7 linked regions of the Macaca fascicularis genome follow. The protein of the gene in region 6 purifies or fractionates together with the protein of the main gene of each other region. This does not show direct contact. Links are inferred from orthologs where the notes say so. Each region holds a gene or a part of one and is shown on either strand. Other genes may lie near its edges. The genes, in order: CTTNBP2, TIPRL, LIMD1, ANKLE2, CEP43, PPP2R1A and IER5.

Region 1 (3,500 bases), on a different chromosome or scaffold from region 6:
TCAATACTATGCTGACAGATTAGAGGATCTGCTCCTCCTAACAGCCACCCTCCCCCATATGAGTAGCATAAGAAGTCACCAAAAATGCACAACTGTAAATGGCAGAGACTAGATTTCAACATAGATCTAACTTCAAAGTCCATGCTGCTTCCAATTCCCTATTTTGCCCCTCAAAATATGGATAAAGCCTCTCAAAGACCTTAATTTCAAGTTGATAGCTTATAGTTGGACAAATAAATCCTAAAGTACTGCTGCCATCACCTGATAATTAGCAAATATGATGCTATTTGCTTTTCTCTCTCTCCCTTCAAAGTACTCAATATAACAACTATTCAAACCTTCCTGTAATTATAAAAGTTTCCTCCCGTTAGAACCAACAATCTCCACCAACCACTGAGATCCCATGGTAGGAGAGACTTCTCCAAAGCTTCAACAGAACTTTGTCTTCCACATTTTGAGGGGTAAAATTGGGAACTGGAAACAGCATGGACTTTGCAGTTAGTCAGATGGGTGTTGGAATCTAGTCTCTTGTTATTTATAATTATGTGTTTTTGGTAACATTACTTTAGAGCCACATTTGCTTAGTAAAGAACTAATCCAGTCATGTCAATAAAAAGCAATGCTTTCTCTAGCACTGTATAACAAAAAGGAAAAATCCACCTTTTCTTTGTTCAAGAGTCCCAGATTCAGTGACTTCATAAGCCACACCTGCAATGGAAACCTTCTGTAACATAGCCCACATGCTATGTTAACCATCTGTGCCCAAGTGCTGGAAGACGGCAGCACTAAATAGGGTACATAGCTTTTAGAAATAAACTTAGAACAGATTTATAAATATTCACACTCCATTTCTGAGGGTAAAAAAGAAAACAACAAAAAAAACCTCTAAACACCAAACTGATATTAGAACTTAAAATATACCAATTACAGAACAAATCTAGTCAATTTGGTAATCCAATATAGTGTTAATAATTACTTGAAAGGCCTTTAAAAATATCATCTCAGAAGGAACAGAATTAAACATGTACTGTCTGATGATGACCCACTGAGGTCTTGCGAGATAAATATTTAATAAGAAGGAATACTCTTTTCTCCCATGTAAATACTTTAGTCTCTCTAAATTAATGGTCTCCATGTGCTTTAAGCCACTACTTTCAGGTTATTTTAAAAGAAGAAAGCACTTAGCATAGTGAAACCGCAATTCATATAGCAAGATGAATCACCATACCCTGGAGCTTTTAAAAACAAACAAACAAAAATCAAAAAACAAAAAACAAAAAACAAAAAAAAGAGAGAGAGAGAGAGAAAAGAAATGGGTGGGGGTGGGGGAAGCATAAAATTTAAAAAAAAGTTTCAAGGCAATGTGAAGAAAATCAAGGCAAGTGAGAAGAGAGGCCATATTCTTTAAAAAGGGTATAACAGTTCGATCCCTTTACCTGATGCTGTTACCAGGAGGCTGTCTGAGGCACCTGGTCTACAGGATGAGGCACTAACGGGGTTTATGGAAGAGCAAAAGGCAATGGTGGTAGGAATGACAAGGGAACTGTCTGAACATGCAGGTTGGTTCAGTCCGGGGGTTGCAGCAGGCCAGGCACCCACCTGAGATGTGGCCAGGGCTGAAACGGTACAGCCTGCAGGTGCCACAGTTAAATCTATGGATGGTTTTGGTGGCAGCTGAGGGGAGGATGACTTAGGAAGGTTGTCCTCATTGGTCACCCTGTTCCCTTGTGGCAAACTGGAAGGAGGCGAAGCCACAGTTTTGTTATCAACTTTGGCCCCTGTGTTCGAGGCCCTGCTGCTGTCTATAATAACCTTGAGTTGGGGGTGTGGTGGAGAAGGAGTTTGGGAGAGCCCTGGCTTTTTTGGAGGGATAGGAGGAGGATTTCCTCTGTCAACTCGTGCAACACCGTGAGTCTTTAAACTGGTCCGACCGACTGGAGGGTGAGTGCCAACATCCCCTGTTGGGGGCGCTCCAGGCCTTGAGGGAGCACCTGCTTGAGGGCTTGTAAATCTTGACAGTGCTTGGGTCACAGTATTCCGAGCTAGTTGTTTGGCCACTAGGTTGTCACGACTTGTAGGTGACATATCTCTTGACGGAGGACTTTGGGTAGTATTTCCATTTTGGTCTGGGTCGTTAGCATTGCCCTGAAATCTAAATCTAGCTGCTTGGATTCGTGGGTTTAGACCTGGATGCAAAGAGGCGTTGGCACATGGTGAATGTAAACTGTGCATAGGTGGAGCCTGGGAGTTCTGAGGAGCTATGCCTGGTGTCTGAGTGGTGGGAGGGGCAGCATTACTGGGAAGTGGGGGTGTGCTACTGGTTGGATCTGGTGTTGAGTCAGTGCTTGGTCCATTTTCCTCAATTCTGTTTGCACTTGGAGGTGGGAAAGCGGGTACAGAAGAGCCAATCAAGTCACCGTGGGAAGCCTGCCTGTCAATACCTGGTCTGGCCATTGTGGCACTAGTGCACACGCTCCCTTTTGCATTTGCAGAAACTAGGGGGCTCCCTGTGGAAGGTTTTACAGGCATGGTTAAAGGCAACTTTTTCACATGGTCAGCACTTTCTGTCACTAGGTCTGTCTGGCATGCAACAGACCTTGTCACAGTTCCTTCTGTTCCCACAGATATGGAAACCAAACGCCTATCTTTTGTCTTCCGTGGAAGAGAGAGGCTTGGTTTACTGTCACTTCCCCTTTTCAGTTGCTCAATCATTTTCTTCATCTTGTCTATCTCCTCTTTGAGGTCAGTTGTGTGTGCTTCTTCCCGGTTCAGCTTGGCACGAAGCTGTTCCCGCTCGGTGTCAAACTCAGAGAGCTGTTTTTCCATCTGAGCTTCCATTTCTGTGCTTCTTCGTTTCTCAGCAGAGAGTTCTTCTTCTAATTCATTTGTCTTTTTCTTTTCCTCTTCCAGTTTGGCCATTATGTCTTCGAGCTTCTGGGCCTCCTCTATGACCTTGCCGGAGAGCTGCTTGCACTCTTTGACCAGCATCAGGACCACCTGCTTGTTCTTGCCGCGCTCTTCCTCGAGGCGGGCGGCCAGCTTCTTGTGCTCTTGCTCAAGGGCTTGTAGCTGAAGCTTCTCCATTTCCAGCTGAAAGAAATTCACAGGAAAATCCTGATTAATATACAGAATTTTCTTTTCACCAAGGAAATGCTTTTTGTGAGATTTTTATTAATTTTCTAACAATGACATATTCGGGTTAGCAAAAACGCCACATTTTCAAAAAGTGTTGTGATAAGAAATATTTTAAAGGCCCATTAAAATGAGAAAATAGATGTAAATGGCTTTATAAAAACATCTAAATTACAACAACAGAGAATTTTTAAAGTCTACTGAAGTTAACTACAGAAAAACAGAACAATAACCAGATGCTTTAAATCACAGGGATCAGAAAGATCTATTTTTGTAAAAACACAGCTCTGTGATGGAACTGGTGATATTTTTAAAAAAGGTTTAATGCTTTAAAATAATTAATCTCTGAGGTAAAGTATCATGAAAAG
Region 2 (3,500 bases), on a different chromosome or scaffold from region 6:
GCAAAACCCCCTCACATTACGTTCTGAGGGATGCCACAACAGAAAACAAGGACAATAAAAGTAGTTGCGAAAAATAACCCGTTACTAGAAAGTTCTAATGCTCAGACTGTCCAAGACAATTAATGACTCATAAAAGAAAAAAGTAAGATTTACCTTTAACTTAAGAGATTCTCCAAGTAAGGTTCCCTTATAATCTGTTGTATAGGTCCAATCGTATGGTTTAATAACCTCTTTGGAGTGTTCACCCTCCGTCCTCAAATACCAAAATGAGAAGGATCAGATTCAGTGATGCAGAATAGAGATTATCTGTATTTATATATCACATCCAATTATATTCTACAATAACATAAAATATCCTATTAAATATATACACTTGTTATAATTCACCAGTACAAGGTTTTTCTTACAGTTTTTCTACATTTATCGTTCTTTAACTTGTCATGTACTGATGTAGTCTTTTCAATTAGTCTGTACACTGCCTGAGGACACGGTTTAAAGGTTTATACTTCTTTGTATCATCTAAGGTACTTAGTACATATTAGGCACAAAGTAAATAATTGCTGATTTGACTATCAAAGAAAAACATGCTGTCTTAATTTCAATGCTTCTCAAATAGGATATTTATTAAGCATATCATAAGTAAACATTTTTCTTGAAAAACAGGAACATTAAATATAGCCTACTGCCTCTTCAATAAGGAATGCTGAAGAATTGAAAAAGTACATAGCTCAGCTCAGTTGTAATTCACTTTAATAAGAATTCAAGTAGTGGGGTAATTAACTTCCATTTTTATGTCTCAGAAAAATGAATTCTAGAATGATACAACTCTCATGTTTAATAATACCAGTTCTTCATTCTAACGACACACACGTATCATTACTGAATATTTTTTCAAGTCTTTCTCTTTTGTTTAACCTAATTATATTTTTTGTTTAACCTAATTGACCAGATTCTCACCTGCTTTCTTGCCACTCTTCAGCACAGGCCACTTTAAGCATTCCTTGGTAGTTGTTTACACATCTTAATGCATCTGTAGCATTGAACTCAATTCCAAAGCCAGAGCCATGCTGGATTCTTAAAACGTTGTCTCCAAACATCATTTCAGGGAGAGATGGCATATGTAATTCATCGGCTAATCTATACATAACCAAAAGTCATGTGAGATAATTTTATATCGCTGTTGGCATTTTTGTTTCTTTTCCAACCCAGAGAATTCTTCCTACATTGCTGAATGAGTTACACAGCGTATGATTTAATCAATATGATATATTTGCAAGGTCTACAAAATGCTTTCATCATCCATTCTTTCGTTATCATATCTTATGGCACTGTACTAGGTAGTGGGCTAAATAAGATAATATACAAACACAGATATAATAGCTTATTATATTACTATAATATATAGCACACAGATATTACTATAATATATATCATGAAGGTATGAAGAGAAGATAGCAAAGCAAATAAAGATACTGTCCCTTGTAGGAAAATAATTTTTCCACTAAAATTTTCAATTGTTGTAAGTTTCAAAAAGTGGTGATGAAAAAAGCAAAAGCACCTGATACTGATGAGGGAACCCAGCACTTGCCTATACAGACTTTCAGAAGGATTGTGTCAATTTACATTTCACCCTGGTGCAACAATCAAGCAAAAAATAACAGGAATTTAATAAAATCTACACACTTTGACCCAAAGTATCAGTTTTAGGATATCTGTACTAAAGAACAATTCCAAGTACAGAAAAAAACTATACACATTAATACTTACAATGGCTTTACTTATAATCGTGAAAAAGAAATACTCTGAATGTTTCATTATAAAGCAATAAATGATTATGGAAACCAAAGTATATCCATATGATGAAATATTACGGAACCATTACAAATGTTTAAAGAGAGAATATAATAATATGGAAAAATGCTTATGATAAAATAGTATGATCAAAATGCGTATGATAAACAAGACCTATGGCCACGCAAGGCAAGGATTAAGTCATGCCCGACAAACCATAAAATCTCATTAAATGGTTTTTTATGTGCAATGGTATAATGTGCCTTACTTTCCAACCTGACTGGTATAGCATCACAAGACAGACAGTAGGCCCCCTTTTCTTAAGCATTCCTTTCTACTGACTTCAAGTCTTTAAACAAAGCTTAACACTGTTTTTTGTTTGTTTGTTTTTGAGACAAGGTCTTACTCTGTCACCCCAGGTTGGAGTGCAGTGGCAAGATCTCGGCTCACTGCAACCTCCGCCTCCCAGGTTCAAGTGATTCTCTTGCCTCAGCCTCCCTCGTAGCTGGGATTACAGGCATCTGCCACCATGCTCAGCTAAGTTTTGTATTTTTAGTAGAGACTATTTTGGATAATCTTGAACTCCTGACCTCAGGTGATCCGCCCGCCACAGCCTCCCAAAGTGCTGTATACACATTGTATATTTTTTACATCTATATGTGTATTTCTGTGTGCACATATCAGTGATCTAACTTTTTGAGGTACAGGTCTTCAGGATGATACCTAACAATGTTACCTTTCATCATAATTTTAAGTAAAATTTATTCTTTGTTATTAGGAGATAGAAAATATTAAATACTTAAAAGATTAGATACAATAAACTGTAATTGGAATATATATTACATAAGATTCCATAAAATAAGTTTTAACTTGAATAATGCATACCAAATGTGAAATAATACGTGAGTCTGTGGGTTCTACCCAATACATCTGGAAAAATCTGGCAGTCCTATAAAATATTCCACTCATATATGTAAAAGAATCACTGTTACTAATTTACAGTCCTTCAATGTTCTAAATATAGAGTTTCTTAAACACAGGCCAAAATGCCCTATTTCTTTTTTCTTTTTTTTTGAGATGGAGTCTTGCTCTTTTGCCCAGGCTGGAGTGCAATGGCATGATCTCGGCTCACTGCAACCTCTGCCTCCCAGATTCAAGTAATCCTCCTGTCTCAGTCCCTCTAGTAGCTGGGATTACAGGCACGTGTCACCACGCCCGGCTAATTTTTGTATTTTTAGTAGAGACAGGGTTTCATCATGTTGGCCAGACTGGTCTCAAACTCCTGACCTCAGGTGATCCACCTGCCTTGGCCTCCCAAAATGTTGGGATTACAGGCGTGAGCCACAGTGCCAGGACTGAAAATGCCCTATTTCTAACATCAAGTTTCCCTCTTAAAAACAGGTATAACCAGTTATAAGGAGAGAAGACAGGAAGCTCCTCTGGTTTTAAGGTGCCTTAAATATTCATTAAAGGGAGTTTCTTTAATCCAATAATTTACCCAATCAATTTATTTAGCACCTTAGCGGTTTTTACAATCTATGGTAATGCATCACAGAAAAATTTAGGATTGGTGAGGGTAAGTCTTCCTTTTGTCATATAAAAAAGGCAGCTTTTTTTTTTTTTTCAGTGGAGGGGACAGAGTCTCACTCTATCATCCAAGCTGGAGTGCAGTGGCATGATCTCAGCTCACTGCAACATCCACTTCCCAA
Region 3 (3,500 bases), on a different chromosome or scaffold from region 6:
GACGTGATCCTAGCTTCCTAAGTAGCTGAGACTATAGGCACAGCATGCCTGGCTAATTTTTGTATTTTTAGTAGAGACGGGGTCTCACTGTGTTGCCCATGCTGTTCTCAAACTCCTGGGCTCAAGTGATCCCCCTGTCTTGGTCTTCCAAAGTGCTAAGATTACAGGCACGGGCCCATGCCTGGCTGGATATTTTGAACTGAATAAAATAATTAATCTCACCTGTTTCTTTTAACTTTTTAATTGTGGCTACCAGAAAACTTAAAATGATACCATGACTTTAATTTGTTGCTCTCATATTTCCTTCTTTTTTTGAGATGGAGTCTCACTCTGTTGCCCAGGCTGGAGTACAGTAGCACAATCTCAGGTCACTGCAACCTCCACCTCTCAGGTTCAAGCAATTCTCCTGTCTCAGCTTCCCGAGTAGCTGGGACTACAGGTGTGTGCCACCATGTCCACTAATTTTTGCATTTTTAGTAGAGATGGGATTTTGCCATGTTGGCCAGGCTGGTCTTGAACTCCTGACCTCAAGTGATCTGCCAGCCTTGGCCTCCCAAAGTGCTGGGATTGCAGGCGTGAGCCATCGCGCCCGACCCCTTATGTTTCTTTTGGATAGCACTGGTCTAGAAAATGTGGAGAGGCCTGTTGAGCAAATGTCCTCACCTTTTTCTCCTGCAGTGACCTGGGGCACCTGGGGTCCCGCAGCAATGATTCCCACCCATTTCTTCAGTGTTGGCAGTGGGACAAGTCTACATGAGGGACACCCCTGTTCTCTACTCACAAGGTCACCAAATGAATCTAATCTCCTTCCATGGGTGAATTCACTTAATTGTGGCTGAAATTTCATGGTCACCCTTCACAGGGGCTGGTGAGGGGCGATCCCTAGCTTTCCTAACAGTCATCAGGTACTAGTGCTGCTTCATCCTGGGACACAGGGCAGGAAGGGGCAAGCGGACCCCACCTGCCTTCACACCACCAGCTGACATGCCTGTTTCCAGGAGGGGTTTCCTGATTTCCAGGGCTTGGCTGAGAAACAGGCTTCTGGAAGACAGAACAGCCTACAAGCTGGAGGGGAGGGTGTCCCTTCCCCACATCGCACACCTGCCTGACAATGTGGCCCCCAGACAGCACCTGAAACCCATGCTCTCCACCACCCTCCTAGCTCTGCAGCTTCAGGGATAGTAGGTCTGACAGTTGCAGGCCTTGATAGTTCTGAATGTGCAAAAGAAAGAGCTTTATACCTCGAGCATTTCCATCTTCTCCTACCTCCCCCAAGAACTAGCCTTCACTCCATTTCCTACAGAAGTTCTAGAGGGCTGAACCTTGCCAGAATCTTGTTGACCGCCTCTTGCCCCAGTCAACGCAGGATGCTCTTCTCTTGGATGTCTACAATGGGCTCTGGGGGCCGGGTGGGGAGGGGCCTACCTCGCAGTGGTAACACTCCACGTGGTAGTCTCTGTCCATGGACACGACACGGATGGTCTCATCTGAGCCCTGGGACCAAAGAAAAGCAAGAACACGCCCGAGAGACCTGTTAGGGGCCTGTTGGGTTTGATGTACCACAGGGTGGGGAGGGAAGAGGGTGTTGGGGTAACAAGTAGGTGGCCTTGGGAGGAGAAGGTAAACAGGAGTACTTGTTGGAAAAAGAATACATTTAAGCTGATGAGAGGGAAAGTGGGAGGGACAGGAGCCCTTCCTTCTGGAATGCTGGAGTCAACACTGAAAGAAAGACCTACATGGACACTTATTTTAAAAAATGAATAAAAGACAAGTCTTTCTGCTCATCTGCTAATCTAAGAATTAGTCATCAGGTAAGGGAGTTTGACCTGATCCTGGGGACAAACCAGCACAAGAAGGGTACTGGGGCGGGGAAGCCCGTCAACAAGGAGGGGTGAGGACGTGACTTCTCTCAAAGGTGAGTTTTTTTTTTTTTTTTTTGGAGACAAGGTCTTGCTCTGTCACCCGCTGGAATGCAGTAGCACCATCATAGCTCACTGCAGTCTCAAACTCTTAGGCTCAAGCAGCTAGGACTACAGGCACATGCCACCACGCTTGGCTAATTTTTAACAATTTTCTGTAGAGATGAGGTCTTGCTATGTTGCCCAGGCTGTTCTTAAACTCTAGGCCTCAAGCAATTTTCCTGCCTGCCTAGGCCTCCTAAAGTGGTGGGATTACAGGCGTGAGCCACTGCACCAGGCCAGAGTTGAGATTTTTAAAAGGATACCTTAAAAGATGTAAGGACAGGACATGGATCTTGTAAATGAGCCCAGGGAGATATTCATGTTTTAGAAGCCCCTGGGAGCATGTCTGGAAAGGCATCTTACCTCAGGTGGAAGGATGGGAAGCCCACAGGCTGCACACTTGGGGGCCAGCACCCTGCGGGGAGAAACAAAGCAGCAGTAAATGCACACTGTGTTGTTTCTGGGAGCAAAGCCCAGAGTCAGACTTGCACTTGGAATCCACATGGAGCCTTCCTCCATGCTGCCTCCTGCCCTTTGCTCTCCTCCCTCATAGAATGTCTGGAACCTGGCTCACTTTGTGGAATATGCCTTAGTATCTGTTCCCCAGCTGCAATGAGGACACTGGCTGCCTCTCACTCTTCTGGGGACAGCACTAACCTATTTGTTTACACCCCTCATGGTGCCTAGCACAGGCCCAGGCAAACCAAGACTGGTGGGAACCAGCACTGCATAGGGGCCTTGTGAAGTTAGGTAACGCTGAAGCCACAGGGCTTGGTGGATTCCTCCCGAGGCCTAGCCAGGAATACGATTATTAGTTTTTTGTGCTCTGTTTTTGTTTTTCTCACTAAACATGATTCTTTAACCCATTCCTGTCAACACTGGCATTGACCAACCTCCCAAGATCCCTACTGCACCCCTCAAAACCATTAAGCCTTTGCTGGACTGTGATCTAAGGGCAGCTGGCAAACACAGTTCTGTTGGTTTCCACCGCTCACTCTGCTGAGATCAGCTTGGCCTACACGAATGGGTCCCGTCTGCTCCCGTCCCTTCTTACTTGTGGTAATCTCGGACACAGTAGATCTTGTTCTCCGAGTCCACGGTGAAGGGCACCCCATCCAAACACTCATTACAGACGACACAGCGGAAACAGCCGGGGTGGTAGGACTTCCCCAGGGCTTGCAGGATCTGGAGGAGAGGCCAAGACTCAGTGGGGATTATAGGGAAGGATGGAATGGTGGAAGGGCAGAGAAATACATCAGTCCTAAGGATTACATGAGTGGTCACACACGGAGTACACTTACCCCCGAGTTTCACCTAGGAGAAGAGCAAGAGGTGATGGGGTGGGAAAGGCAAATCTGTTTAGATGAATACACAGAAGAGACCACCTAAGAATCTTTTTCCTGCAGCCTCTCACAGGGTCTCTGAGCTGGGAGGGAAAGAGGGCTCCTTTCCAACCCTCACCCAGAGCAGGAAACTCTTGCACAGTTCTTTAATAGAAAGAGATGCTAAGGGAGGGATGGGCCAATCCCAGGGCCAAAA
Region 4 (4,050 bases), on a different chromosome or scaffold from region 6:
GCCACCACGCCCAGCTAATTTTTTGTATTTTTAGTAGAGACTGCCTCACCACATTGGCCAGGCTGATCTTGAACTCCTGACCTCGTGTTCCACCTGCCTCGGCCTCCCAAAGTGCTGGGATTACAGGCGTGAGACACGGCACCCAGCCGAGTATGCAACTTTTGAGATTGGCTTTTCCTAGTCAGCATAATGCCCTTGAGATCCACCTACGTGGCAGAGTGGACTGCTGCGGAGTGGCACCCTGGGGTATCAATGTTTAAGTTTAACCATCCACCTCTAGAGGGACATTTGAGTTATTTCAGTTTCTGGCAATTACAAATAAAGTTGCTATGAACATCAAATACGGGTTTTTGTGTGAAAATCGTTTTCATTTCTCTAATAAAAGCTCAGGAATGCAGAGCAGATTTAACTTCCTAAAAACCTTCCAGGCTGATTCCCAGAGTAGCTGCACCACTTACCATCCCCACTCGCAATGCACGAGACCCAGTTTCTCTAAATCTCTGTTGACTTGTGGTAATATCAGTATTTTTTTATTTCAGCCCCTCTCAAAACACCACCTCCAGCCACCTTGTCCACAGCTCTGCTTGGATGATGCTGGTGGTGACGGTAACAGAGCACTCAGAGGTGCTTAACACATACCAAGTGCTGCACTTACCCAACTCCCAAAAAATCTTAACTAGGTACTACTATAATCCCTATTCCTAAATGAGCAGGCTGAAGACAGGTTAAGCCCACAGCAGTAAGTGGTAGGGCCGGGCGCGATGGCTCACACCTGTAATCCCAGCTACTCGGGAGGCTGAGGCAGGAGAATGGTGTGAACCCGGGAGACGGAGGTTGCAGTGAGCCCAGATCCCGCCACTGTACTCCAGCCTGGGCGACAGAGCGAGACTCCGTCTCAAAAAACAAACAACAGCAGCAACAAAAATAGAAAAATTAGCCGGGCTTGTTGGCATTCACGTTTAATCCCAGCTACTCCGGAGGCTGAGGCAGGAAAATCGCTTGAACCAGGGAGGCGGAGCTTCCAGTGAGCCGAGATCCTGCCACTGCACTCCAGCCTGGGCGACAGAGCAAGACTTCATTTCAAAAAAAAAAAAAAAAGAAAGTGGGTAGGGCCAGGACACAAACTCACACAATCCGACAGGAATCCCCACTCAATCATTAGAAAGCACCGCTTCTCAGTGACTAACAGTCTGACAATTTAGAGTAAAAACAAACTCAGTTTCTCCCACTAGACTCTCGCAACATGCTTCAGACGCCAGATATGTGGGGGTTTTCTCGCCACGAATCACGCAGGTCATCAGTTCTGCAGTGGACACAGGCTGGGTGTCGTCTGTGCAGTTCCATCCTAACTCAGTCATCTATTCTGACAGCATCTTCCTGGACATACCAGCAGACCCCACAGGTTAAGGGCTCAGCCCCACAAGACTGTCCCCCACTTCCAGTGCCCAGGTTGTTTGACCTGCGCTTCGGACCGACTGGGTGTAACCGGGTAACCTCCTCAGGTTGTGTTAATTTGCTAGAGCGGCTCCCGAACTCACAGACATGTTTTACTTACATTTACCAGCATAGGATAAAGATTACAAAGAATACAGGTGAAGAGATGCGTGAGGTAAAACCGGGGGGAAAGGCTTGGAAATTCAAGGCCTCTCTGGGCACCGCCTCCAGGAATCCCCACGTACTATCCGGAAACTCCCTCAACCCAGCCCTTTTGGGTTTTTACAGAAACTTCATTTCACAGGCATTGGTGATCAGCTCAACCTTCAGCCCTCTCCCCTCCCCGGAGGTTGCGGGTGGGGCTGAAAGTCCCCAGAACCTCTAACTCAGCCTTGGTCTTTCCTGCGACCAGTCCCATCCAGAAGCTCCCTAAGGGCTGCCGGCCACCAGTCCACTCAGCCTACAAAAGACATCACATTGGAGGTCCCCGGGATTTCAGGAGTTGTATGCCATGAAAAGCGGATGGAGGTGAAACACACAGTTCACAGTATCAGTTACCTCAAACTTAAAATGACCCAAACCCACCTCCGCTCTCCACATCACCCAGACCCGACAGTCTACCCCAAAGCAATAAATGGACACCTTCTCCCGTTTCCTCCCGCCCCAAACCCCTAAGTCACATAGGCCTTTTCCGTCTCTGCCTCCTGTTCAATGACCAGTAACCGCAGGGGTTTCACATTCCAAACACATCCGGGACCCAGGGCTTCCTACCCGCGCCGCCCCCCCTTGGGCCATCCCTCCCCAGGTCTCCATCGACCGCAGCAAGGTTCTCCGCTAACGCCTCGCCGGGCTCCCGCCGCCTTCCCCGGAGGCCGCTCCCGAGCCCAGAAAGCTCTCATCCCCGAACCCGGCGTGGCCCCTGCCGCCCCCGCCCCGGGAAGCCGCGTTCCCCGCAACTGCCCTTTCCGCGGCCGGAATGGCCTTTCTCGAGCGGCCCTGGGAGAAAAGAATGGCCTTTCTCCCGGCGGCCTCGCCCAACTGCTGCCGGCACCGGGAGCTCGAGGGGCGCGGCCCAGGACGGGGTCCCGGGGAGGGCGTCGGGGCGGGGAAGGGACCGGGATGCAGGGGCCCAGCGACCGCCTGGGCCTTACCTGGGGCGGGGGCGGCGGCCGCGGGCGGCGGAGGGCCTGGGGTCCCACTGCGGCCCAGACCCCCAGGCCGCGGGCCCAGCCGCCGCACCAGCCACCGCACAGCGATCAGCAGCACCGAGGCGCCCAGCAGCTCCCAAGCCAGCGCCGCCCACTCGGCCGCCGCCAGCCGCGGCCACAGCATCGCCGCAGCCCGGGCCGCAGCCGCCTAGGAGCCCGCACCCTGCGCCGCGCCCGCTCCAGGACCCCGCGCCGGGCTGCCCGCGCCCTGCCTGACGGCGCCACGCTAGAGGCGGCCGGGGTGGCGCGGGGGACACGGGCGGCGGCCCCGCTCACGAAGGTCCGGCGAGGGCGCCGCGGTGGCCCCGGCCCTGCACCCCAAGCGGGCGGGGACGGGCGAGCGGACGGGCGGGCGCGGCAGGCGGGGCGCGGGCAGCCCGGCGCGGGGTCCTGGGAACTGCGCGGCGCGGAGAGGGTAATGTGTGGGCGGGGGCCGGGGCGGGGCTTGTTTACTGCCTCCCGGGCCTGGCCTCCGCGGGGCGCTGCGCCTCTTCGAGAACTAAGCGGGCTCCGCCGGGTTCGTGAGCTCCGGGCCCCAGGACCGTTTGCGGCCGCCGCCCCGTCCTGGAGCTGGAGTGAGGAGGCGCTTCTCACTTTCCTGCGAACCCGCAGAACGGGCGGCCGGCGCTGGGGAGGCCCCCGGAGCTTCCCGCTTCTTCACCAAGCGACCCTGACGCGCAGTAGAAAGCTTGGATTTTGCCGGGCGCGGCGGCTGCGTCCGGAGTCCCAGCGCCTTGGGAGGCGAGGCGGGAGGATCCCCTCGGCCCAGGAGTTCGAGACAAGCCTGGGCAAATATTTTGAAAGTCATGGTAAAAGCCTCAGTTACTTTTGCACCAACCTAATTGGGAGACCCTGTCCCGAAAAAGGGAGGAGGATTTTCCTGTATACAATTTAGATTTTTTTTTTTTTTTTTTTTTTTGATGCGGAGTCTTGCTCTGTCACCCAGGCTAGAGTGTAATGGCACGATCTCTGCTCACTGCAGCCTCCGTCTCCTGTGCTCAAGCGATTCTCCTGCCTTTCCTCCCAAGTAGCTGGGATTACAGGCGCCCGCCACCCCACCCGGCTAATTTTTGCATGTTTAGTAGAGACGGGGGTTTCATCATGTTGGCCAGGCTGGTCTCGAACTCCTGACGTCAAGTGATTGGCCTCCCAAAGTGCTGGGATTACAGGCGTGAGCCACCGCACCCAGCCTACTTTAGATATTATGAAATGAAAATGAAAGACCTGAAAAATACAATTGATATCCTTGGTTAAAAACATAATTGATCTGAGCGAGGTGGCTCAGGTCTGTAGTTCTAGCAACTCTGGAGGGTGAGGGGCGAGGGTAGTTTCAGTTCGGGAGTTCGAGGCTGCAGTGAGCGTGATCTCGCCTGTGAATAGCCACTGCATGCCAGCCTGACCGACATAG
Region 5 (3,500 bases), on a different chromosome or scaffold from region 6:
AAAGTGAAAAAAAACAGAACACAAAGGGGACAGGGCAGCCATCACAGTGCAGAAGTCAGGAGTAAAGTCTCCAGTGGCAGTTAGCCATTGAGGTCGAGTGGAAAAGAACATCTAATGGCAACCACAACCACAGCTGACAGGAAAAGCACAAGGGAGGGAAAGGGGGCAGGCCCACCTAGCTGGCCAGCCAGCAACCAGGACGCACAAAGAGCAGAGGGCAGCACAACCAGCAACTCAGTTACCAGGACTCCAGGGCACTGTGTGAACAAGAATCCAGGCGGCTCAGGGAACATTTATTCTTCTGCAAATGGGGGAACAAAGTAACATAAAAAGAAAACTAACATTTACTAGGCACCTACCATGCCAGGCACTGTACTTTAATTTACGTATGAAGAGATATTTAAATCCTATTTATTCTTTAAAACAAGGCAGATGTTACTAGTTCCACTTAACAGATGAGGAAGTAGCAGTTTAGTTTATCTCCCTACGCTACCCATCAATCAGTGCCACATCTGAGATGTCACTTCCATCCAACTCCAAGCCCAAGTTCTTTGCACTATCCAAAATGTCTCTCCAGAAGAGGGAAGGGCGTTCTCGGAGCTGCCCCTCGGACAGGGCTGGGTTTTAAAAGCACACGGGACACAGCTGTCTTTCTCCCCAACCTGCCTGTGCAGCTGTCTTCCAATGCTTCCATGTGTGAGTGATTACAGACCAGGAAGCGATGCCATCACATCCACAGAGAGCATAGGAAGTGGCCATCGAGAAGCTGGCTGCACCGATTCCTTCAGGTCAGCAAGTTTGCCTTTACATAAATGAGTCTGCCTAAAGTATGCCTGTCACCCTGCTACAGTCTTGTACACAACAGAACACTCAATGAGAACTGTGCTCTCAGCATATGGTGCAGGGCTCGGTAATGTTCACACTGACACTCTTACTTCCATAGGAATGAACGTACTTACATGGCAGGCTTACCAACTTCTGCTCCATAGAACAGAACTGAACACATCTCACAATTTTTCTTTCAATAAGTCTGTTTCCCCATTAGACTGAATTCTCTGAGGCCTGGACCATGTACTACCAGCATCTAGCAAATGGCTCTGCCTCTGCACAAATTTTTCTATCTGAACTGAAATATCTTCCCTTCTCTCTTATACATCTACTTAACCATGAAGCTTCTGCACAGAAGTCACTTCTTATAAAAGGTCTTCCCTGAATGCCAAGACTGGACAAAGGTAACCTACTAGCCATTTCCATACAAATATATACTGACCCTTTTACACTCAAAATTATCTGTAGATGCCCGTTTAATGTCCATATTCCTGACCAGAATTCAAACTCCATGAAGACAGAGGTTCATGAGGACATGATGGCTGTTGCTGTAGCCATCTCTCGTATAGGGTGTAATCCTGAACACGTAAAAGCCATTCAAACACCTGCTGAATGAGCAGCGGCAGGAAGGTGTTCAGCGTAGGCAGACTGAGTCACTTCTTTTACAACCTTACCCTAAAAATAATCACTTTAAAACGATCAACACAAAAACTGGAAATCTAGTTACCTAATCCAAGTGATCCAATTTTATCACTGATCAATTTCAGATCTTTCAAAACCGTATTTCCCCTTTTACCTGTGAACAGGAAAAAATACTAGCATTAGAGTGACTTTTAGAATACAACAGTCTCTAAACCACATCAATTTTTGTTGTTGTTCAATATGGGGGCTTCTTTATGACAGGAGCATAATAACCTAAAACTAAGGAAAAAATAAACTGTGATTAATGAATGCTTAAACTATGCATTACAACCCTTTTTTTGAGACGGAGTCTCACTCTGTCACTCAAGCTGGAGTGCAATGGCGCAGCCTTGGCTCACTGCAACCTCCGCCTCCCAGGTTCAAGCGATTCTCCCGCCTCAGCCTCCTAAGTAGCTGGGACTACAGGCACGTGCTACCACACCCGACTAATTTTTGTATTTTTAGTAGAGACAGGGTTTCCCTATGTTAGATAGGCTGGTTTCAAACTCCTGACCTTGTGATCCACCCGCCTTGGCGTCCCAAAGTGCTAGGTTTAAAGGCATGAGCCACTGCGCCCGGCTACAACCCTTTTTAAACCATAAACAATACTACTTTATTGGAACACAACCACCAAAAAATATTTTTGCCTAATTATAAGACATCACTTTCCATAAACAGCCCTGTTAGGTATGAATTCATAGACTACTGTTAATTATTTTCATGAATCTTATTTTTCCTTTGAACTTCTAAATTTTTCTTCAATGCAACTGCTATTTCATTTACTAAAGTGACAATCCTCACTGGTTTTTGGTCCTTCGTTCTCAACGTCCTCTCTAAATGATCATTCTCTAATCAGTGTCAGAATGACACGTTCATGATGTCCTGGATTCCTTTCTTAAAGGTGGCAGTAACCAAAGAAGCAAATGGGAAGGGATACGAACCTTATAAATACATGGCTGGTTTAAGAGAAGAAAGAGGTCGGCTCTCTTATGTGCCCTAGGAAGTCCCACAGTATATCAAGCAATACAAAAAGATTCGGAAGTACTGGACAATTATGCAAAACTCATACTGCAAATTCCTAGTGAATCTACTTTTGGAAACTTTCCAAAAGAGGTACACGAAGCTCTGAAACACTACGCTAATTAAATACAACATTTACTATTATATGGTTTCCAAAGGACCTCTGCCCATCCTACCTGTTCAGGGCTATGCTGTTTAAATTCCTATCACTGTGTGGGGAGAGGTGGGAAAGTAACTAGTGCCAGAGCTAGACTATTCCACATGTAATCAGTGCTCTTTAGCTCTGCTGCATTTACGATGACATGTCAGGTCATTCTTGAAAATGATCTGCAGAATAATTTTTTATTTAACATTTTATGATACTTACTGTGGTATCACTAAACAAATTTTTTAAAATTAATTGAAAGCAAATCCGACTCAAGTCACTGTAAATGTCCAAAAAAGGAGAGATGATTTAAAAATTATATTTCTATAGATAATACAAATCAGCTAAAAAATCAACTAAAAAGTATTCCGATGGTATGTAGGTATAGGAAGGGGCAGAATACAAAACAACATATAAAATATGACCACATAAGAAGTAACAAAATATTAACAGGAAAGATTTCTGAGTGATAAAATTATAGGTTATTTTAGTGATTTTCCTGGAAAAAAAAAATCAACAATAATCATATAGTGCTTAATTAGAGAAAAAATATCCCGAGTATTCAAGCCCACATCTTTGGGCACTTACTCTCAGAGTCTTTTAAGGAAGGGGCCCCCGCCAGGGAGCTGAGTCCACTTTTTAAGGGGGGTGCATCCGAGAGCGAGGCCAGGCTTCCTGGTTGCTTCCTAGGTTCACTCCTCCTAGCAAGAAACAAGGACAGTTAATCGGTGCTCTTATGTTCTGCCACTAAACACTTTTATCCTGCCACTGAAACAAAAGCAACTTAAAAGATACTTTATATGCACAGTGGCTGGAAATCAAGAAT
Region 6 (3,500 bases):
GCCTCGCCTCAATGCATAAACAAATTAATTTGAGATGACAGACCAGAACCAGAAAGATTTAAAAAATAAAACATCTAGAAGAAAATGTAGGAAAATATCTTCATGAGTTAGCGTAGGCACAGCAAACCAGAGGAATTGATGGGTAAGTTGACCTTCTGTAAAATGTAGCACTATTTCTCAAAAGACAGCATTTTGAGAGTAAAATGCAAGCCCTTGACTGGAGGAAGATGTCTGCAATGTATGTTTCTGAGAAAGGACTCATCCACAATACCTGTCTACAAACCAGGCAGGGCAAGAAAGAGATGGGAAAAAAGACTTGAATCGGCACTTGAAAAAGGATCTCCACATAGCTTGTAAGCATATGACAAGGTGTTCAGCATCATCAGCCTTCAGGAAAGTGCAAATTAAAGCTCAGTGACATATCACTACACACCTCCCAGAACAGCCAATATTAAAAAAGACTCAATGGTGCAAATGTTGAAGACATAGAGCTGGAACTCTCATCCGTTGCACGTGAGGCTGTGTATTTAGGGTTTGATCACTCTGAAAACGGGAGTGGAACTGGAGTGGAATTTGGTGAAGCTTGTTATACAAACACCCTGTGAAACAGCCCTTCCACTCCTGGGTCTCTATCCAGGAGAAATGAGTGCTGTTTCTGTCCGAAGAATGTTCATGGTAGCTTTATTCATAGTAGCCATAAAAACAGAAAAAACCTCCATGTCTGCCCACAGTAGAGCAGATAAATTTTAGTTCATTCATACAGTGGAAAACTATTCAGCAGTGAAAAATCAAATGCCTGCTGTAGGCGGCAACACAGGTGGCTCTCACAGATACCATGTTGAGTGAGGAGCCAAACCCAAGAAAACACACCATTTATGTCAAGTTCAGAAACAGGCAGAATGAAAGAATCGAGATGATGGAAGTAAGAATAGTGGTTATTTGGGGAGAACAGGGAGCTGTCAAGTGAAAGTGGGGGACCCACAAAGCCTGCACTTTTGATTTCTGTCTGAATCTGTTCCAGGACACAACCTCAGCTTTAGTTTCTCTCCGAAGTCCTCCTCCATTTCCCAAAACAATTGACTCGGTGCAGGCGGAGTTCCCTGGGCCCCATAGATGAGAGTGGTTGCCTCCTCTGGGCTCCTGGAGGACCAGAAACTTTCCCTTGGGACCACTTACCACTCCCTTCTTACGTAGCAGTTTGGTCTCTGTCTTGCTCCTGGCCCGGATGCCTCATGGCAAGAAAAAGTGATTTAGCTCCGTATTCATTCCATATACATTGTAGGCCTCAGTGAATATGTGTGAAATCAATGAAAGATACCCATTTGTTGGGCCTCAGAGACTTGGGAGTTCTGTGATTCTGTTCTACTTTCCCAGCCTGCTCTGATCTCCCTGTTTGGGGCCCCAGAGAAGTCTGTTGTTGTTTGTCATACTTCTGACTTTTAAAGTAATTGGTTGGTTGGTTGGTTGGTTTTTTTGCAGTTTGTTTGGTTTTCCTTTGAGACAGAATCTCACTCTGTCGCCCAGGCTGGAGTGCAGTGGTGCAATCTCGGCTCACTGCAACGTCTGCCTCCTGGGTTCAGGCAGTTTTTGTGTCTCAGCCTCTTAAGTTGCTGGGATTACAGGTGTGCACCACCATGCTTGGCTAATTTTTGTACTTTCAGTAGAGACGGGGGTTTTGCCATGTTGTCTAGGCTGGTCTTGAACTCCTGGCCTCAAGTGGTCTGCCCACCTTGGCCTCCCAAAGTGCTAGGATTGCAGGCATGAGCCACCGCACCTGGCCTTGATTTTACTTTTTTTTTTTTTTGAGACGGAGTTTCACTCTTGTTGCCCAGGTTGGAATGCAATGACGCAATCTTGGCTCACCACAACCTCCACCTCCCAGGTTCCAGCGATTCTCCTGCCTCAGTCTCCCAAGTAGCTAGGATCACAGGCGTGCACCACCACACCCTACTAATTTTGTATTTTTAGTAGAGACAGGGTTTTTCCATGTTGGCCAGGCTGGTCTCAAACTCCCGACCTCAGATGATCCACCCACCTTGGGCTCCCAAAGTGCTGGGATTACAGATGTGAGCCACCATGCCAGGCCTGATTTTACTTTTAATATACACATAATTATACATATTTATGGGGGTATAGTAGTGTTTTGATAATGTGTGCAAATGTGTAATGATCAAATTAGGATGATTAGCATATCTATCACCTTAAATGTTTACCGTTTCTTTGTAATGAGAACATTCAAAATCTTCTCTTATAGCTGTTTTGAAATATGCAAAATATTATTGTTAACTATGGTCACCTTCCTGTGCATTGAGCGGAGATTTCTCATTCCTGTGTATGTCCTGGATTCTTGAGACTCCTCTCACCTTGGGTTTGGTGTATCCATGTCTGTGTATACCCTCTTGCTCAAGAGCCCTGTGCCCACCTGTTGCCCCAGTACGCTCCCTTTCTCTGTCTCCTTTTCGCTTTCCAGCACCCTGCAGAGTGAAGTCAAGCCCATCCTAGAGAAGCTGACCCAGGACCAGGATGTGGACGTCAAATACTTTGCCCAGGAGGCTCTGACTGGTAAGACCTAGAAAGCAGGGAGCCCTAGCAGGAGGGTGGACTTTTGAGGACAGGTGCTAGGCTGTCCTTTGAGAACAAGGTCGCAGCTTCTGGGAGGGGGAGGTACCATGGCATTGTGGGCAGAGAGAGGGCTGTGGTTCTGATTCTTGCCTGTTCCTGTTTTCCTAGTTCTGTCTCTCGCCTGATGCTGGAAGAGGAGCAAACACTGGCCTCTAGTGTCCACCTCCAACCCCCACAAGTCCCTCTTTGGAGAGACACTGGGGGGCCTTTGGCTGTCACTCCCTGTGCATGGTCTGACCCCAGGCCCCTTCCCCCAGCACGGTTCCTCCTCTCCCCAGCCTGGGAAGATGTCTCACTGTCCACTTCCCAGTGGGCTGGGGGAGCACGGGGTTGGACAGGACAGCGACCCTGGGAGGAAGGGGCTACTCCGCCCACGTCGGGGAGAGATGTGAGCATCCCGGGTCACTGGATCCTGCTGCTGTAATGGGAACCCCTCCCCCATTTACTTCACCTCCCATCCTTCCCCTCATTGGTTTTTTTTTTGTGTGTCAACTGTGCCATTTTTATTTTATTCCTTTTATTTTCCCCCTTTTCACAGAGAAATAAAGGTCTAGAAGTAGTCAGTCCTCTGGCCTTAGTCATCAGCATGGAGGAGGGGACACCACCCCAGAGTCATAACATCTGCCCTTTTCTCTGGAGAAGATCTTGTTACAGGACCCATTATACCCCTATGTCCCGAGAGAATTCTCTGGGGATCCCCCGAGGAGTGCTGCTGGCCTGTGGAGCAGAGGGTCCACGAGGTGCTCTGGCTGCTGTCCTGTAGTGCAGTTCAGTTTCATAGATGTTGGCCGAGTATTTTGGGGGTTAAGAGCAGGTGCCTTGGAACCAGACTACCTGGGTCCAAATTTTGGCTCCTTCAGTTAATAGACGTGTGACTA
Region 7 (3,965 bases), on a different chromosome or scaffold from region 6:
GACAATTTGGACAAGTCAGTCTCTTTCATCTTCCTATGTCAGTTCGAATGGGTTTTTAAGGTAAACTATCTAAACTTTTTTTTTCAATTACAAAGCTAAAAGATGACCCATATTAACAGCTTAACAGGAAACAAAGTTTTGCTGAAAAACATTTTTGCAGATAAGCAGGGCTTCAAAAGCTGATGGTTAAATTACTTAATAATATACACCCACATATTGGGTGACAAATTGGTCTAAACCGACCTTAGAAAAGCCAGTTGTAGCGGTAGGTTTCAAGAACCTGGCAGGTCGCTGATATTAGTATCTAATAGCATTCCTCTGATCTAGGAGGAAAAATTAAACGTGTCTCTCTTGATACTTAGTGGAGTCAGTAAACAATGTTCTCAGTCTGCGAATGACTGATATTAAGAACCACACCTTCAATTTTCTAGCCCAGGCCCTGGTTTCCCTCTTCCCACTTCCCTCCCAACCCAGGCAGGTTATTGCAGACAAGCAGGCAGTTACGTTGCTTCAAAATATTTAATACGTGTTAGACACGTAGAAGTTACATTTTTATACAAAAATCAATACAACGAAGGAGAAAATACTGTACAAAAACCTTATCAGCTCCCCCAACCTTTATATAACAAAGACTGGAGTCACCATATCTACAAAACCATAAGGTCTTTCCACTTCGGGCTTCTGTCTGTAAACTTTCATTAAACACTTTTTAAAAGCACTGTGTAGTAGTTCTGACCTAGAGCTTTTAAAAATATATCTTTTCTCTATAAACTCCATTATTTCCAAGCTTGAACTCTTCTGTGAAGTTCAAGCTTTTTCTCCCCTGCGGGGAAGCAAAGGACGGTTAATATGCCCCTTTCCTAGAGTAATCACAGGATATAAACGTTTCTTCATTGGGAGAGAAAGGTGGGGAGGGACAGAAGGAATCCAAGTCTGTGCTGCTGGCTAAATCCCTCTCGTCTTAGGAAATCCTGTGCGGAAACGCCACTCCTGGCCCTGAAGCGGGTCTAGCTTTCCGGTGAGGGGTGGGTGTAAAGTCCCTCCCTCCCCGGAGAACGAATGGGGAACTCCCCGGCCCAAACCTTTTAGCCGCTTCCTTCTCCACGCAGCCGGCAGAGGAAAGTCCCTGTCTGCCCCCAATCTCTTAAGCCCTGGGGAAGGAGTGGTGCATTCCAGAACAAAATAGTCTTAATGCCACAAGACAAACTTACATACACAGACATACACAAACACAAAAAGTTAAAGATCGTCCTCTTCCAATGAGCCTCAAGCTCCCAGGTCTCCAGAAAAGCCAGATGCGCCCGGGGGCAGTTTGCGATGCCCAGCGGCAACCAGTCTGCCCAACGCGCTCAGCGGCCGCGGTCTCTGGGCGTCCTCGCAGCCGGCAAGGGCCCGACCCTCACTTCGAGGACGCCCGCTGCTCAACCTCCTCCCCGCATGGGGGCCAAGGGCTCAGAAGGCCACGATGGCTGTGCTCCAGGGGTTCATGTCTCTCAGCACCGGCTTATCGCAGCAGATCTGCCCGGGCTCGGCGGCTTCCGGGCCGCTCTCCTCTCCCTCCTCTTCCTCCCTGCCGCCCCCGGGGCTTTTCCGTAGGAGTCCCGAGAAACTGGAACCGAAGATGCTGATGAGGTTAGCCACGTTCCCGGTCTCCATCTCCTCCGCGTCGTCGTCCTCTCCTCCACTCGGCGGCTGCTCTAAGTTCCGGCGGGGCTTCTTGAGCGGGGTCGAGCCGGGCGCCGGGCAGCCCGCTGGGCCGCCGCCCACCCCCGCCGCGCCGCGCTTCCTGGGGCACACTGCGGGCGGCGCGGGGGGCTCGTCCTCGGCTGGTCGCGGCGCGCAGCAGCAGGCAGTGCGGGGGGTCGCGGCCGGTGTACCCGGCGGGTCCTCCCCGCCTAGGGGGCAGCCGCAGGGGCGGCGCGCGGCAAGCGATCCCTCGGGGAAGACGCCCCAGCCTCCGGCGGGACCCTCGGCTTCTCCGGCCGCCGCCTGGCGCGGCCGCTCCACGCGGCTCCAGGCAGCTTCCGTCGCGTCCGCCTCTCCGCCCTGAAGAACGTCCCCGACTCCGGTCACCGTGGTCACTGGCACCTCGTCCCCTACCCGCGGCGCGTGTGAGACGGAAGGGCGCTCCGGTTGCGGCTCGGTCTCCGGCCAAGAGGCACGGGCGACGGGCGGGGGCGGCTCTCCCCAGCCGGCGGGTGGCCCGGCCGCCGGCTCCCCAGGCTGCTGCTGCGGTGGCGGCGCCGGGAGCCCAGCGGGACCGGCCAGGTAGAGGCCGGGGCACGGGTCGCTCAGGTAGACCTGGCGGGCGCTGCGCAGCACCAGCGAGACCAGGAGGTTCTTATGCAGCTTGATGCCGCCGCGCTGGACCCGCGAGTTGTAGATCTTGCCCAGGGAGATGCTGACGATTCGGTGAGCCTCCAGCTTGAACTCCATCCTGCCTCCCCTGCACAGGGCCGTCGGCGCCGGGGTGTTACGTTCGGAAACTGGGAGGGAACGGGAGGCGCAAACAAGTCCGCCCCGTGGGCACACCCTTGATCACCTAAGACTCCGAAGAGAAATGACTCCGGTGACGCGCGCTCACTGCCCCGCAGACCTCTCTACACCAGACAACTACCCCGTTTCGGGTCCGGTAGCTAAACAGGGCAGCCCGGCCGCCCCGCGCCTTATATAGACTCCTCGACCGCCAATCACGAAGGGCCGCCAACCGTTCCGGGGCTGGCCGGCGCGCCCTCGTGCGCCGCGCACGGCCAATCGGAGCCCGAGGAGGGGCGCCAAGGCCCGTTCGAACGTTAGTCCCGCGGAGCAAGCTCTTAAAGGGGGCGACGGATTGCGGGCGGAGACCAGGCCGATGGGGAGTGAGTGTTGGGGACCGTGCTGGGGACCGTGCTCGGGACCGTGCTCGAGGGCGCTACTGTTTGGAGTTACAGATTCTGGCTTGTGCGATGGCTTGCCGGAACCAAAGCGAACAAAATATTCGAACTTTCTTCCGAGCACGGTGTTGGACTCTGTTCTGCCATAAAGTCCTGATCTTTTCCTGATCAACTCCGCCCTAACCGGCCACGCCACCATTTCCAGGCCCGCCACACCTGTAAGCGATTCCCCTCAACCCTGGCAAAAATAGAGATGGTGGCTATACGCGGCGGAGGACACCCCTGGATAACAAATAGTATTACTGCAAAGTATTTGGCTGTCATTATTTTTGGATGAGCCGCTTTCCCCGCTAGAGTCACATACACTCTTAGCAGCTGTCAGTTCTAACACCAAAGAAAAAGGGGATTCTAAAAGTTTTTGGCTAGGTTCTTGGCTTCTTATCAAGGAATTGTGTCTAGATACAAAGTTACTGGTTGCCCTCTAAAGCCGGCATCTTTCACTTTGTTCTCTAGATTCTGGAACAAAGCCAGTTATCAAATAGGTTAAATGGAAGATGTTACAGGTTCTCCACAATGATTTTTTTCCCATTTCCATTTTTCCATTACAAGGACTGATCAGTCAACCCTTGGAAAAATCGAGCAAGGTCTGAAAATAAAAAGAAAGAAGTCCTGTGTTCCCATGATGATGTCATAATTTCATTTTGTGTCAAGGTAAAAATACAGCGCTAGGGAGTTCCAGAATTTTCTGGTCAGTCAACAATGTAGTCCATCTACTGGTCCTTATATCAGGGCACAATTACCACAGGGTTGCCCAGGGTCCTGGACTGGAAACATGGAGTCACTTCCAGTTAGTTCCACCGAAGCTCCACCACAGACCTGCCTGAGGACTCTGGGTAAATAACCTCAGACCGCTTCAGTGTCTCCACCGCTGAAAAGGGGAAGTCACATACACATCTGCTTTATTGTACAGACGATAAATGACAACTTCTCAGCCACAAACTGAATGAGAAAACTAAGCACTGCTTTCTTGGAGTCCATGTGGAACCCTGGGCCTGATCCTGCCCCAGGGATTGGCCAAGCAATGAATTTATT

What was found.
Region 1: the proteins of PPP2R1A (region 6) and CTTNBP2 purify together in Homo sapiens (affinity purification with mass spectrometry; 3 studies listed by BioGRID and IntAct, with this or other methods). This does not show direct contact. The link is inferred for Macaca fascicularis from reciprocal best matches to the Homo sapiens genes PPP2R1A and CTTNBP2.
Region 2: the proteins of PPP2R1A (region 6) and TIPRL purify together in Homo sapiens (affinity purification with mass spectrometry; 3 studies listed by BioGRID and IntAct, with this or other methods). This does not show direct contact. The link is inferred for Macaca fascicularis from reciprocal best matches to the Homo sapiens genes PPP2R1A and TIPRL.
Region 3: the proteins of PPP2R1A (region 6) and LIMD1 purify together in Homo sapiens (affinity purification with mass spectrometry; 4 studies listed by BioGRID and IntAct, with this or other methods). This does not show direct contact. The link is inferred for Macaca fascicularis from reciprocal best matches to the Homo sapiens genes PPP2R1A and LIMD1.
Region 4: the proteins of PPP2R1A (region 6) and ANKLE2 purify together in Homo sapiens (affinity purification with mass spectrometry; 7 studies listed by BioGRID and IntAct, with this or other methods). This does not show direct contact. The link is inferred for Macaca fascicularis from reciprocal best matches to the Homo sapiens genes PPP2R1A and ANKLE2.
Region 5: the proteins of PPP2R1A (region 6) and CEP43 purify together in Homo sapiens (affinity purification with mass spectrometry; 5 studies listed by BioGRID and IntAct, with this or other methods). This does not show direct contact. The link is inferred for Macaca fascicularis from reciprocal best matches to the Homo sapiens genes PPP2R1A and CEP43.
Region 7: the proteins of PPP2R1A (region 6) and IER5 purify together in Homo sapiens (affinity purification with mass spectrometry; 3 studies listed by BioGRID and IntAct, with this or other methods). This does not show direct contact. The link is inferred for Macaca fascicularis from reciprocal best matches to the Homo sapiens genes PPP2R1A and IER5.

Annotation. Positions count from the first base shown.
Region 1 is NC_088377.1:159,231,777-159,235,276, forward strand, and holds part of CTTNBP2 (cortactin-binding protein 2), read right to left. Parts: intron 3,091-3,500; coding exon 1,437-3,090; intron 1-1,436. UniProt on the Homo sapiens protein: Regulates the dendritic spine distribution of CTTN/cortactin in hippocampal neurons, and thus controls dendritic spinogenesis and dendritic spine maintenance.
Region 2 is NC_088375.1:25,846,214-25,849,713, reverse strand, and holds part of TIPRL (TIP41-like protein), read right to left. Parts: intron 1,138-3,500; coding exon 958-1,137; intron 254-957; coding exon 154-253; intron 1-153. UniProt on the Homo sapiens protein: May be a allosteric regulator of serine/threonine-protein phosphatase 2A (PP2A). Isoform 1 inhibits catalytic activity of the PP2A(D) core complex in vitro. The PP2A(C):TIPRL complex does not show phosphatase activity.
Region 3 is NC_088376.1:108,578,012-108,581,511, reverse strand, and holds part of LIMD1 (LIM domain-containing protein 1), read right to left. Parts: intron 3,147-3,500; coding exon 3,016-3,146; intron 2,377-3,015; coding exon 2,325-2,376; intron 1,495-2,324; coding exon 1,426-1,494; intron 1-1,425. UniProt on the Homo sapiens protein: Adapter or scaffold protein which participates in the assembly of numerous protein complexes and is involved in several cellular processes such as cell fate determination, cytoskeletal organization, repression of gene transcription, cell-cell adhesion, cell differentiation, proliferation and migration.
Region 4 is NC_088385.1:139,880,680-139,884,729, forward strand, and holds the start of ANKLE2 (ankyrin repeat and LEM domain-containing protein 2), read right to left. Parts: upstream 2,801-4,050; 5' UTR 2,767-2,800; coding exon 2,586-2,766; intron 1-2,585. UniProt on the Homo sapiens protein: Involved in mitotic nuclear envelope reassembly by promoting dephosphorylation of BAF/BANF1 during mitotic exit.
Region 5 is NC_088378.1:4,055,244-4,058,743, forward strand, and holds part of CEP43 (centrosomal protein 43), read right to left. Parts: intron 3,376-3,500; coding exon 3,263-3,375; intron 1,625-3,262; coding exon 1,556-1,624; intron 302-1,555; exon of another isoform or gene 176-301; intron 1-175. UniProt on the Homo sapiens protein: Required for anchoring microtubules to the centrosomes. Required for ciliation.
Region 6 is NC_088393.1:59,992,718-59,996,217, forward strand, and holds the end of PPP2R1A (serine/threonine-protein phosphatase 2A 65 kDa regulatory subunit A alpha isoform), read left to right. Parts: intron 1-2,470; coding exon 2,471-2,562; intron 2,563-2,730; coding exon 2,731-2,747; 3' UTR 2,748-3,185; downstream 3,186-3,500. UniProt on the Homo sapiens protein: The PR65 subunit of protein phosphatase 2A serves as a scaffolding molecule to coordinate the assembly of the catalytic subunit and a variable regulatory B subunit.
Region 7 is NC_088375.1:38,576,677-38,580,641, reverse strand, and holds IER5 (immediate early response gene 5 protein), read right to left. Parts: upstream 2,643-3,965; 5' UTR 2,437-2,642; coding exon 1,453-2,436; 3' UTR 501-1,452; downstream 1-500. UniProt on the Homo sapiens protein: Plays a role as a transcription factor. Mediates positive transcriptional regulation of several chaperone genes during the heat shock response in a HSF1-dependent manner. Mediates negative transcriptional regulation of CDC25B expression.